Macaca fascicularis: one gene and its partners. Each later gene encodes a partner of the first gene's protein in a complex. Links are inferred from orthologs where the notes say so. Each region holds a gene or a part of one and is shown on either strand. Other genes may lie near its edges. The genes, in order: PTPN23, ZFYVE16 and ZFYVE9.

The links.
Region 2: the proteins of PTPN23 (region 1) and ZFYVE16 are in contact, whole or in part, in a crystal structure (PDB 5MK0), measured with the Homo sapiens proteins. The link is inferred for Macaca fascicularis from reciprocal best matches to the Homo sapiens genes PTPN23 and ZFYVE16. Residues at the interface, in NP_056281.1 of Homo sapiens: Phe62, His125, Glu137, Glu138, Lys141, Val142, Cys144, Thr145, His146, Gln148, Cys149, Leu189, Lys192, Ser193, Asp196, Arg198, Lys199, Phe201, Leu202, Arg205, Ile206, Ala336, Leu338, Leu342, Asp348, Ala350, Val351; in NP_001098721.2 of Homo sapiens: Asp2, Tyr4, Phe5, Ala8, Val9, Leu12, Asp13, Leu15, Leu16, Asp17, Phe19, Glu20, Gln21.
Region 3: the proteins of PTPN23 (region 1) and ZFYVE9 are in contact, whole or in part, in a crystal structure (PDB 5MJY), measured with the Homo sapiens proteins. The link is inferred for Macaca fascicularis from reciprocal best matches to the Homo sapiens genes PTPN23 and ZFYVE9. Residues at the interface, in NP_056281.1 of Homo sapiens: Phe62, His125, Glu137, Lys141, Val142, Cys144, Thr145, His146, Gln148, Cys149, Leu189, Lys192, Ser193, Asp196, Arg198, Lys199, Leu202, Arg205, Ile206, Ala336, Leu338, Leu342, Asp348, Ala350, Val351; in NP_004790.2 of Homo sapiens: Glu2, Tyr4, Phe5, Gln6, Glu8, Ala9, Leu12, Asp13, Val15, Leu16, Asp17, Phe19, Glu20.

The regions. Positions count from the first base shown.
Region 1 is NC_088376.1:110,332,338-110,335,330, reverse strand, and holds the end of PTPN23 (tyrosine-protein phosphatase non-receptor type 23), read right to left. Parts: coding exon 2,353-2,993; intron 2,260-2,352; coding exon 2,075-2,259; intron 1,948-2,074; coding exon 1,843-1,947; intron 1,762-1,842; coding exon 1,623-1,761; intron 1,531-1,622; coding exon 1,417-1,530; intron 1,339-1,416; coding exon 859-1,338; 3' UTR 612-858; downstream 1-611. Other genes in the region: SCAP (sterol regulatory element-binding protein cleavage-activating protein), read left to right, coding at 1-208. UniProt on the Homo sapiens protein: Plays a role in sorting of endocytic ubiquitinated cargos into multivesicular bodies (MVBs) via its interaction with the ESCRT-I complex (endosomal sorting complex required for transport I), and possibly also other ESCRT complexes.
Region 2 is NC_088380.1:84,416,521-84,420,052, reverse strand, and holds the end of ZFYVE16 (zinc finger FYVE domain-containing protein 16), read right to left. Parts: exon of another isoform or gene 3,445-3,532; intron 2,455-3,444; coding exon 2,296-2,454; 3' UTR 564-2,295; downstream 1-563.
Region 3 is NC_088375.1:182,581,291-182,585,579, forward strand, and holds the start of ZFYVE9 (zinc finger FYVE domain-containing protein 9), read right to left. Parts: upstream 2,925-4,289; 5' UTR 2,782-2,924; coding exon of another isoform or gene 1,928-2,781; intron 1,780-1,927; coding exon of another isoform or gene 1,662-1,779; intron 1-1,661. Other genes in the region: uncharacterized protein, read left to right, coding at 1,662-1,779, 1,928-2,781, 3,025-3,066. UniProt on the Homo sapiens protein: Early endosomal protein that functions to recruit SMAD2/SMAD3 to intracellular membranes and to the TGF-beta receptor.

The DNA of each region.
Region 1 (2,993 bases):
CAACCTGCTGGTGACCGGCGGCCAAGGCTGTGTCTCCTTTTGGGACCTAAACTACGGGGACCTGTTACAGACAGTCTACCTGGGGAAGAACAGTGAGGCCCAGCCTGCCCGCCAGATCCTGGTGCTGGACAACGCTGCCATTGTCTGCAACTTTGGCAGTGAGCTCAGCCTGGTGTATGTGCCCTCCGTGCTGGAGAAGCTGGACTGAGCATGGGGCCTCCCTGCCCAGGCAGGGGTCTGGGGTGCTGTGTGGGGGCCAATGCACTGAACCTGGACTTGGGGGAAAGAGCCGAGTATCTTCCAGCCGCTGCCTCCTGACTGTAATATTAAACTTTTTTAAAAAACCACATCTGTCAGGCACTTTGGGAGCTACTTGTCTCTCTCGGAATTGTTTGTGCACACACTCTGCCTGGACCCTCCTCAGAGCTGCTGAGGAAACATACAGCATGGCACAGGTAGCAAAGCGGGGAGGATGAGCAAGCCAGAACTGCAGGACCCTTAAAGAACTGTCCTGGTAGTATAACAGTTTGGTACCATCCTGTTATCCACGAAAGGTGCTAAGTTCCTGCCAGTGCTACTGGAGCTGAGGCAGCAATGGGCAGACTCAGACATGGGCCACAGAACAGGGTGGTTTATTATTTCAATAGCAAAGAGCTGAAAAATGTCAGGTCTCATAAAGGAGCAGAACCTGACCCAGAGCCTGCAGTACATCTCCACCCCACAGGGGTGCAGACTGGGCCAGGCAGGCCAAAGGCAGCAGAAATGGGAGTAAGAGACTGTGCCCACTGAGAAGCTCTGCTGGGTGTGGGCAGGTGGGCATGAGAGATGTAGTGTAAGGACCAGGTAGGCGAAACCTGTTCAGGTCTTGTTGAGTGTCCACAGTGGATCCAGAAGGCTGAGGGGGTCGTCAGAGGGCTGGGTGGCCCGTAGCCCTTGCCCGTTATGGGCCTGCAGAAAGTTCTGCTTGCTCATCCGCTGCTTGCCCCGCAGGGAGCTATCCAGGGAGAAGGCCTCTGGGGTCAAGGAGGCCAGCAGCTCCAGGGAGGAGGAGGGGGGCCCCGAGCTGGGGGCTTCAGGCACTGGCGGCTCCTCCTTAGGCTGGGGAGCCTCAGGCAGCGGGGAGGAAAGGGGGGGCGGGGAGGAAGATGGGATTGGGGTAGACTCTGGGAGGCTGGCTGGCGGGAGGCCTGGGGGCTCTGCAGGGCCTGGCAAGCTGGCAACTGGGGACTCCAATCCCCCAGGAGGCCGGATGCTGAGCTTGGCAATGGTGGCCTGGATGGAGCTGATGGGCACATCCCCACCGAGGACCAGGTCCTGGGAGTCCTGAGGAAGGTGGTTCTGAGAAGACAGAGTGGGTGAGGAGAGGGAGTCCCAAGGTTGTGGCTGTCCCAGCAGCTTCCAGGGAACCTTCCTCACCTTCTGGCTGATGCTTGCGCTGGCCAAGGGTTTGCATGGAGGGGGCACACCATGGCGCTGCAGGACCTGCTCCACGTGTCTCACCACTGCCTCATAGCAGAACCGGAGGTGCAGCTGCACAGGTGCATTTGGCCAGGTCAGCCAGGCAGGGGCCCGTCACCCGGAGACAGAAGGCCCATCCCAGCCCCACCTGCCCAGATCCTCACCTTCTCCTGCAGCATGTGCTTCCTCTGCTGCCGCATGCGTCGCACCAGTTGAGGCAGCTCAGGGATTCCATTCCCAGCCTCCACCTCCTGCACAGCTGCGTAGAGCAGCGCAAAGGCTCCCGTGCGGCCCACACCAGAGCTGTGCCAAGAAGGGGGCATGAGGCTGGGGAATGAGGCCAGGCCAAGAGCCCGCATAGAGACTGTCAGGCCCACCCTCTACCTGCAGTGCACAACGATGGGCGTGTGCAGCGGCCGCTGATGCAGGTAATGTGCGTGCACCTCCTGGATGAAGTGCAGCAAGTTGCTGGGGCTGTCGGGCAGGCCTCTGTGGGACAGGATGGGGTGGGGAAGAGCCTATGAGCCAGACCTGATCTCAGGCTCTCATCCCTCCCAGCACCAAGGACTGGACAGCACCCCAGACCCCCAGCCACCATCCAGAGCAGTGGACGCACAACTCAGGCCAAGTGGGGAAGTGGAGGTGCACGAGAGAGCGCTTGAGGCTCTGGTCTCGGAACTGCAGGCTCAGCACACGTTCCACATGCGTTTCAGTGCTGCGGACGCTGCTCAATGCCAGGCTCAGGGCACCGTGCACCATGGGCTGGCCCCTCTCGGTGGGGAAGTAGCGTGCCACTTTTTGCTGAGGGACAGACAAACCAAAGCAGGGCTGGTTTTCCAGGATCCCCTGCCCTGCCACCCCACACTGCCCTCGTGGGCACCCAGCCCCTCTCACCTTCTCCATCTCAGCCTCAGAAACCAGCATGACAATGACTGACACTTTCTGCTCATGGACCATGAGCCAGAAGTCAGCAGCTGTGCCGGGCAGTGGGGCCTGGGTGGCCACTAGTGGCGGGCAGTATGGGGAGAGCCCCTCCACGCAGCTGGCATTGATGTAGTCATCCTTGCCTGAGCGCAGTACCACACGGTTACTGTCGTACGGCATGACATCCTGGTACCGGTTTTTCAGTGAGTAGCAGCGGGCGATGGCGATGGAACGGCCTCGGGCATCATGTTCCTGTGCATCTTGCAGTTCCCGCCAGACAGTGTCCAGAGCCCCCACATCCCCCAGCTGGCCCCGAAAGGCCTCCAGCTCCTGCTGCAACTGCCGCAGCCTCTCAGGATGCTCATAGGGGTCCCGCTCAATCAGCCGCAGGGCCTGCGGCCGACGGCCCTCAGCTGCGTCCACCTTGGTGGGCTGCAGCAGGGGCTGCCCACCCCCAGGAGGCTGAGTGCTGCCATGCTGGCTCTCCGGGCTGGAGGAGAGCAGGTCTGCAGCTGCAGCGCCTCGGCGCAGGCAAGGGGGTGGTTCTGCTGCTGGGGGCCGAGGGGGCACAGAACCGGGCCCTGGAGATGGAGCAGGTGAAGGCACTAGGT
Region 2 (3,532 bases), on another chromosome or scaffold:
TCTCTTTGATGTTTTAAGATTATTCTTGTATTTTAATCAGGAATTGTTTTCAACAGGAACATGATGTAAATATCCAAGCATGCAATTTTCAGAAACAGGAAATTTCCCACAATTGAATCTTTGTTCCTACATGGCCAAATCCTACTCTTTTTGTTGTCATACTCTGCACTTAAGCGCATACTACTTGTGGCATGGAATCCATAAATGTTGATAAAGAACTATGTCTAATTCTGCCAGAACAATTAATCATTTTTAGAAATTTTTGCTTAGAAACCTGGTAAAGTGCTCTGCATGTAGCAAGTATAAAAACACACAAAGTTTGTTGAACAGCTGCATAAAACAGATGGGCTAACTTTTACTTCATATTTCAAAATTCAGAGAAAGAGAGTAGTATTAAAAGACATAAGCCAAAAATAGATCATTGCAGACTGAGTACAAAGAACTATTCTATTTCTTCACTCTTAAAAAATTAAAATTTCAAATTATGTACCAATGACCAAATAAGTAACATTCAGAAACATACTATATATCTACAAAGAATACTTCAAAATGTGCCTCCAAACTTCAGGCACGTAATTCCAATTTTTATTGAATGTAGAGATTTTAAGAAAACAAATCCAAAGCTATTCCATCATGGAACAGCCCTCTACCATTTGGTTACTTTAAGACTGTGCAGTTACTTACACGGCAGAATACACACACTATATTAAGAAAACATAAATTGGGTTTGATATGCAATTGTTTGCATCTTACACCATTTCAATACATTTCACAAATTATAACAGGTTGTCATTTTAGTGAATATCTGCAACACTTTACATTGTTCATGAAGTAGCTACTTCCAGAAGGCTGATATTCTCCTCCAAATTGTCTTTGGCTAGTACTACAGATGTGATTCAGTCCAAACTATATGCCCAAACTGATTAAAATTCTCAGTCTCTCCTAGCTTGAGACCTCAGATCCTGAGTTATAACTTTGACTTGATCTTCAAGTTGAGATGCTTCATAAATATTTTTCTTAAAACAGGGCTATTTAACATAATTTATTTTTCTTGAAATATATCAGTGTTTTTGATACAAAAACATATTACACATAAGAATATTTAAAGCATCAAAATAATGATTAAATTTTTTACATAAATGACAGGACTACAGTATGCCCCCCACTTTTTTGATGTTTGAAGAGGAAAGCTCTGTAACAATTTCAAATACATAGGATTTAACTTATGTTAATATCCTGTTATAAAAAATAACTACCATATAAAGAATTTAAAATATGCAAAAGTAATTAGTTCATTTAAATTTATACTTATACATTGGTGTCAGTGAAAATATGCTGAGTTGCCAAGAAATTTCTAAGGATTAAAGTGGAAGTAAAAAAACCTGTTTCAGGCTTCATTTATTGCTACATAATGACTACTTCAAGGGTCATCTGGCCTGTCGTCAGTCACTCTTAGAAGTGGTAAATACAGTGGTATACTTTGGAAGGAAAGGAGGAAAAAAATAATGCACTGTGATACAAAAATATTACCTATATATAAATTATTAAAGATTTATAAAACACATTCAGAATATGTTCTTGCTATAAAAACAATATACTTAAATATAGAAGCAAAAAGTCCTGAAGCACCCACAATTATTTTAATATCCATTTAATCAGGAAAAACTATATATATATGGATATATAATACATACATATGTAATAATTTGAGAAGAAAAAAGGCAAAATTCTGATTTTAATCCAAAAAGAGTTTATCTAATTATGGAGGTAGGTCTCCACTCCAATTATACAAATAAGTTATCAGCTTTATTCAAAGAATTATAAGTCTAAGATCTCGAAACTGGTTTTTGTGCCACTGAAATACAATTTTGACAGACTTTAGAAACCCGTATTCTAACTGGCATATACACAAAACAGATATTTCCTTCATAAGGTTACATCTGAAAAGAGCCTCATTAAAATCATTATTGGCATAAAGAGGTATACCTAAGTGCAGATACTTTGGCTTAGCATTTAAATAACACAGTAAATGCTACAAATTTCTTAGAAGAAATCTTTGTCTTTTTAGTACTTAAATTAATTGTAAAGCTTCAAAAAGTATGGATCTCTTAAATTTTTAGATATTTAAATATTGTGCTAATGATTTGAAAAGATCATTCCTGCCTAAAGAGTAAAGCTTATGTGTTTCAAAAATCAGACATATTTATACTTTTAGTGTTTGTGGCATTTCAGCTTTAGTGCTGGAGTTAGTTTTAACAAATCAGGTTGCAATATGTAATACGGCACATTCTTTCACTAAAAAAGATGTTCTATAATGAAAAACACTAATTCTATTTCTAATGGTAAACTAGAGTTGGAGGTCCCACCATGGATCACAGGTATCAGAGCACTATCAAGATCATTTAGATAATGCTGAGGCAGAAGTTGGCCTTCAGATCCTGCCTGAAATTCAACCTGGAAAAAAAAAAACATCTTGATAAGAAAATGAACAATCTTGTCTAGCTCAGAATGTGAATATAAAATAAGTGAAATATTTTAAAATATCAGTTCAAGCATGTTAAATAAAATATTGATATATTTATTTTAAAAATTCTACATTCTCCTGTATCTTTTATCTACTACATAAACTATAATTGTCCCTCCCCATATATCATAAATATAAAATTCCACTATGTCATACTTTATGTTTCCTCTAAATGAACACATAAACAAATTAGAGGGATTAAGCTTTGAATAACTGCCGACACTACTTAAATTAAAAACCCCATGGTATTAAAAATACTTAAATTTCAAATTTGTTATTGCAATAATATTTAATATTAGACTCTAACATTGGTGCAAATTACATTTTAATACATTTAGCTAAAAAAAAATTTACAGTGCTTACTCAAATAACAAATAGTGGGTGCTTCCTTGAAAAGAGGGCTTTTAATAGTGAGATAAAAACAAAACCCCTTTTCCAGTGAGAACTATGAGTAAAACATATCCTGGCTGAAGAAAAGCAAACCTTCAGCATATGAACTCACCCATGTTTAGATTAACTATTCTAATGAAGTCTGATTTGAAAATCTATATTGGATGTTGGAAAGAGTTACTTGGATGTCAGAAAGAGAACTTTCAGTTCAAATCTGTTAGGAAAATAAATATTCCTATTCCTAAAAAATTAGAAATATTTTCCTAACAGATTTGAACTGAAAGTTGAAAGAAAAACCAATTGTTTTTACATGCAAAATGATTATCACTCCTTGTTAAGAGAAATATGCATTAAAATAACACCGGGGGCCAGGCGTGGTGGCTCACACCTATAATCCCAACACTTTGGGAGGCCGAGGCAGGAGAATTGCTTGAGCCCAGGAGTTCAAGACCAGCCTGGGAAACACAGTGAGACCCCATCTCTTTAAAAAGTAATAATATTAATAGTAACGCGGTATTATTTTTTACCTATCAAATTGTCCAAGTTCAAAAGTTTGATTATATACTTCTTTGATAAGGATGTGGGGGAGGCCAGGTGCCGTGGCTCACATCTATAATC
Region 3 (4,289 bases), on another chromosome or scaffold:
TCGGCTCAGCAAGGTTAGTTAATTTTAAATTTACTGTATCAGTGATTCTCAAACTTCAGTAGGCCTAAGAATCAGGGAGACTGATAAAAATAAAGTTCTTTGGGCCATTGTCATCCCTAGAATTTCAATTCAAGGGACCAAGAATCCATATATTACATATAATACCTATGTTATATATATAACAAGCACTCTCAACTGATTCTAATGTTGGTGGTCTTTAGGGACACACTGAGAACTGTATTCGACTGAATTCGAACTGTATTCGAATGGAGTATCGCTCTGTTGCCCAGGTTGGAGTCAGTGGCCCAATCTAGGCTCACTGCAACGTCTGCCTCCCGGGTTCAAATGATTTCATGCCTCAGCCTCCAGAGTAGCTGGGGCTACAGGTGCGTGCCACAACACCCGGCTAATTTTTTTTATTTTTAGTAGAGACGGGGTTTCACCATATTGGCCAGGCTGGTCTCGAACTTCTGACCTCGTGATCCACCTGCCTCGGAGGGGGGCATCTTGCTTACATTGCCCAGGCCGGACTGGAACTCCTAGGATCAAGGGGTCCTCCCAATTCAGCCTCCCCAGTAGGCCTAGCCATCACACTTTGCCTGAATTAGACTTTTAAAAATCTAAATTAACCTACCAAAATAACTGGTAATCAAGCCAATAATTAACAGAAATACTTAAAATCTGACAAAAACAATGCAAGCCTACAGCATGTAAGACAGTAGATCTTCAAAAACGTGTACCATGCCAAACTTTCTCCCTACATGGAGACCCCATGCTGCATAGAAAGTTAAGTTAGGGATCTTTTAGGTAGTTACCCATATTCTTCTGTTTCAATTGATGAATTCAACTACGGTTCCAATGTAATTTGGTAAAATATTTTTATAGGTCCTATACAAATGGCAATGTAAAATGGAGCAGTCAGATAATTTTAAACCTAATATACAGAAATAATTTTAAAAATCACTGTCAGTACAAGCCCATTATAAACCTGTACTGTTTACAATCTGTGAGATTATGGGTGATTTCTCCTATTATTATTTATTAAGAGCCAACACGGTACCTTTCCATACTTTCCAAATTTTCTACAAAAAGCATATTTTTTCATGATTATAAAAGTTTTGCAAGTACCTATAAGTCTTATAACTTTCACACACATAACAGGAAACCAGGAATAACCTGTAATCACATTTCTCACGAAACATAAATATCTGACTTACGGTATCAAACTGTAAGTACTAACATTTTCCAACATTAATATCAGAACAAATCATTTTATTTCTAAAATTTAGTATGTGTCCCATTTCCTTCAGGTATTTATTAGAGTAGCTGGCACTTAAAGAGGACTTAAAATCCTCTTGCCAACCATTATCTGGATCTCTTTAAGTGGAACATTTTCGTACCGAACACTGAAGCATAAAAATATTTCCTCTGGCGGCGGGGGGTGGGGGGGAGGACAGACCTTTGTAAAAGACGTTTTTATAACTGTGAGTGTTTATCTAGAAAACTTAGCATCGCAAAGATGCGATGGGGCTTTCTCCAAGGCAGACCACGCTTAGAGACAAGATACAATACAAGGAGGCTGGGCTGAGCAACCGGCAGGTGATGAAATTTCACCTCAAATAAGACGCAAAAGGTTGTTCTCGAGCAAGTCAGATCCATGAATGACACTCCAGGAGTACCACGGGCTCTCTTGGTCCCGCACTCTCTGCACCCCAATTCTCACCCTGGCCGCCTTCTCCTCCCCATTCCCCCGCCACTACCGGGATTCTGAGGTACTCGGTATGGGACGCGGGGAAGCCAAAGCTGTTTGCAAACAGGCGTCATCTACCTCCCTCTGGGATGTACGTGCAGGGCCCAGGCTAAGAGGCTGCGCTCGGCCCGGGCCCGTGCAAACCCGAAAGGCGGCCGTGCTCCTGCCGGCCCCCAGCTCCACACACCGGGCCGCGCCGGAACCGAGGCCGGGGCGAGGGCTTCCCAACGGCGCGGGGCCTAGTCGCCCCCCACGGCCTTCAGCCTCCCGGGGGACGCAGGCAGAAAGGGCTGAGGCCCCAGGACCGCAGAGTGGGGGAGGCGGCCGCAGTGGCAGGACGCCCCGTCCGCCCGGCCCGAAGGCTGCCGCCAAGGCCCCCACAAGCGGCGGGAGGCGGGCGAGCCCCGGACCGCGCCGCGCCACACTCACCTCGAGCAGCGGCCGCCTGCGCTTCAGCATGGCCAGGGGGGTCGTCCCTGAGCCGAAAGCCTCCTCCGGAGGGCACCGGCGCGGCCCCAGGCGCCACCGCGAAACCTCCCACTCCTGTAGGAGCTGCGGTAGCTGCGGCTGCGGCTGCTACTGCTACAGCTGCTAAGGCCCGGCACCCGCCCAGCCGCATCGGCGCCCGGGCCGCGGCAGCCACGCGGATCCCGGAGGAGCGCCGCCGAGCCAGGCCGGGGGCGCAAGGCTGCGGCGGGACGACCGAGGTGCAGCAGGCGAGGATCCTCAGCGAAGCCTCCAGCGTCGGGTGGCCGCTCCTGCCGCCGGCGCCGCTGGGCCACAGCGCCCCCTGGACCCCACGTCCGGCTACGGCGTCGGGACTGCGGCGGCCGCGCCGGGCACGAGCCGCAGGGAACGCTAAGGAGCGCGGCCTGGGGGCGGCGAGGGCCCCGCGCTCCCTGCGCAGCCCGCGGCCCGCGGCCGGCCGGGGACTCCACTTCCCGGGAACCGGAAGCCCCTCAGTTCCCACCAAACCCTTGACGTTCCCCGCCCCCCGCCAGACCCGAGCACCTTTTCCTTCTCTCCCGAAGGTACGTGAACGTTCTTGTCACTCGGACCCGCACCTGAGAGCAGGAATGTAAGGGAATCCCTTCGTTTGTCTCTCCCGGCTTCGGGGGTGGCGGGGAGACCCCGTTCTAATCCCTTTAATGCGTCTGGATGAAAGAAGAGTGACCCAGAACAAACCTTTTTTTCAAACATATACACACTCCTCTCCCAAAACAGACGAAGGAATTGTCTTTGACCTTAACTTTTTTTTTTTATCCACTGTGTAGATCATTACAGAAATTTTCTACAGATACCAACCAAACCCTTAACACCTAAACCACCACCCCCACAAAACAAATATGAAAATATATATGTATATATATGCCCAGCCAGAGAAGAGAATAGCCAAAGGGTTGTCCTGAAATTCATAAACAACTTAAAGGTAAGCAAAGAATCACCCATCTTTTACTAACACCCTCCCCGTCCCAACCTCTTCTCTCCCACCTCCACCCCTCATCCCAGCCGAATCCTAGTAATGCTCTGAAGGAAGGAAATTATTACACAGTGGGGGCTATGGAATCATTCTGTTTACAGATGCCCCATATTTGATCCCAATCAGCCTCTAGGGTGCAAACGTCAGAACCAAAAACAAACAAGACTGTCAAAGGGGAAGTAGGGAAAGATAATTCTCCAAATCCTCTGATCCCCAAATTTTCCAAATACACTTTTTTGACAGAGTGGTGGTATATTAGAATGTGTAGTGACTTTGGTGTCAGACGCATACTGACACTACCAGTTCCAGTTCTGTCATCTATAGCTTTATGACCCTGGGCAAGTTATGTAACATTTTTGAACCTCAGTTTTCTCCTGCCTGCCTTGCTGGTTGTTGTGCAGATTGGAGATAAAGAGACTGGCCCATAGAAGATACTCAATAAATGCTAGTTCCAATTTTTATTGGTTCCAGTTCTTTTTCTTAGGCTCAATTTTGTACTCATCTGTTTTTGTTTCTCATTCTCTGTGTGTGTGTGTGTGTGTGTGTGTGTGTGTATATGTGTGTGTGTAAGTGTATTCCTATCAAAAGATGGATGCTCCATTCTTCATCCTCCCTAGTCTGGGTGCAACTTCCCTAAATTTCACTAATGGGTTTATGTAACACCCCTCTACAGAAGAATAGAGCCTCATGCACTGGATCCTATGACATTCTATTGTACAGCAGATATCAGCATGCAACCAGTATTTTTTATGTATAAAAAATGTTATAAGGCAATCTCACCTTACCTTAGGTTATGGCCTAATGATGATAAATAATAATGAGAAACTACAGGAATCATTCATTTAATAATTGAGCAGCCACCACAGAGAAGCTGTCACCTAGTAGCTCTCTTAATGAAAGCTGTTCCTGTATAATCCTAACTGTGCCTTTGCCACATACTCCTGAGTCACAAAAAAATCACTATACCCTTTCTATAACAAGAGAAACTGGGGCTCTAAGGGAAACCGTGATTCATCCTCGCAGTGATTCTATGAATTAGGTGCTATGCTACCACCATTT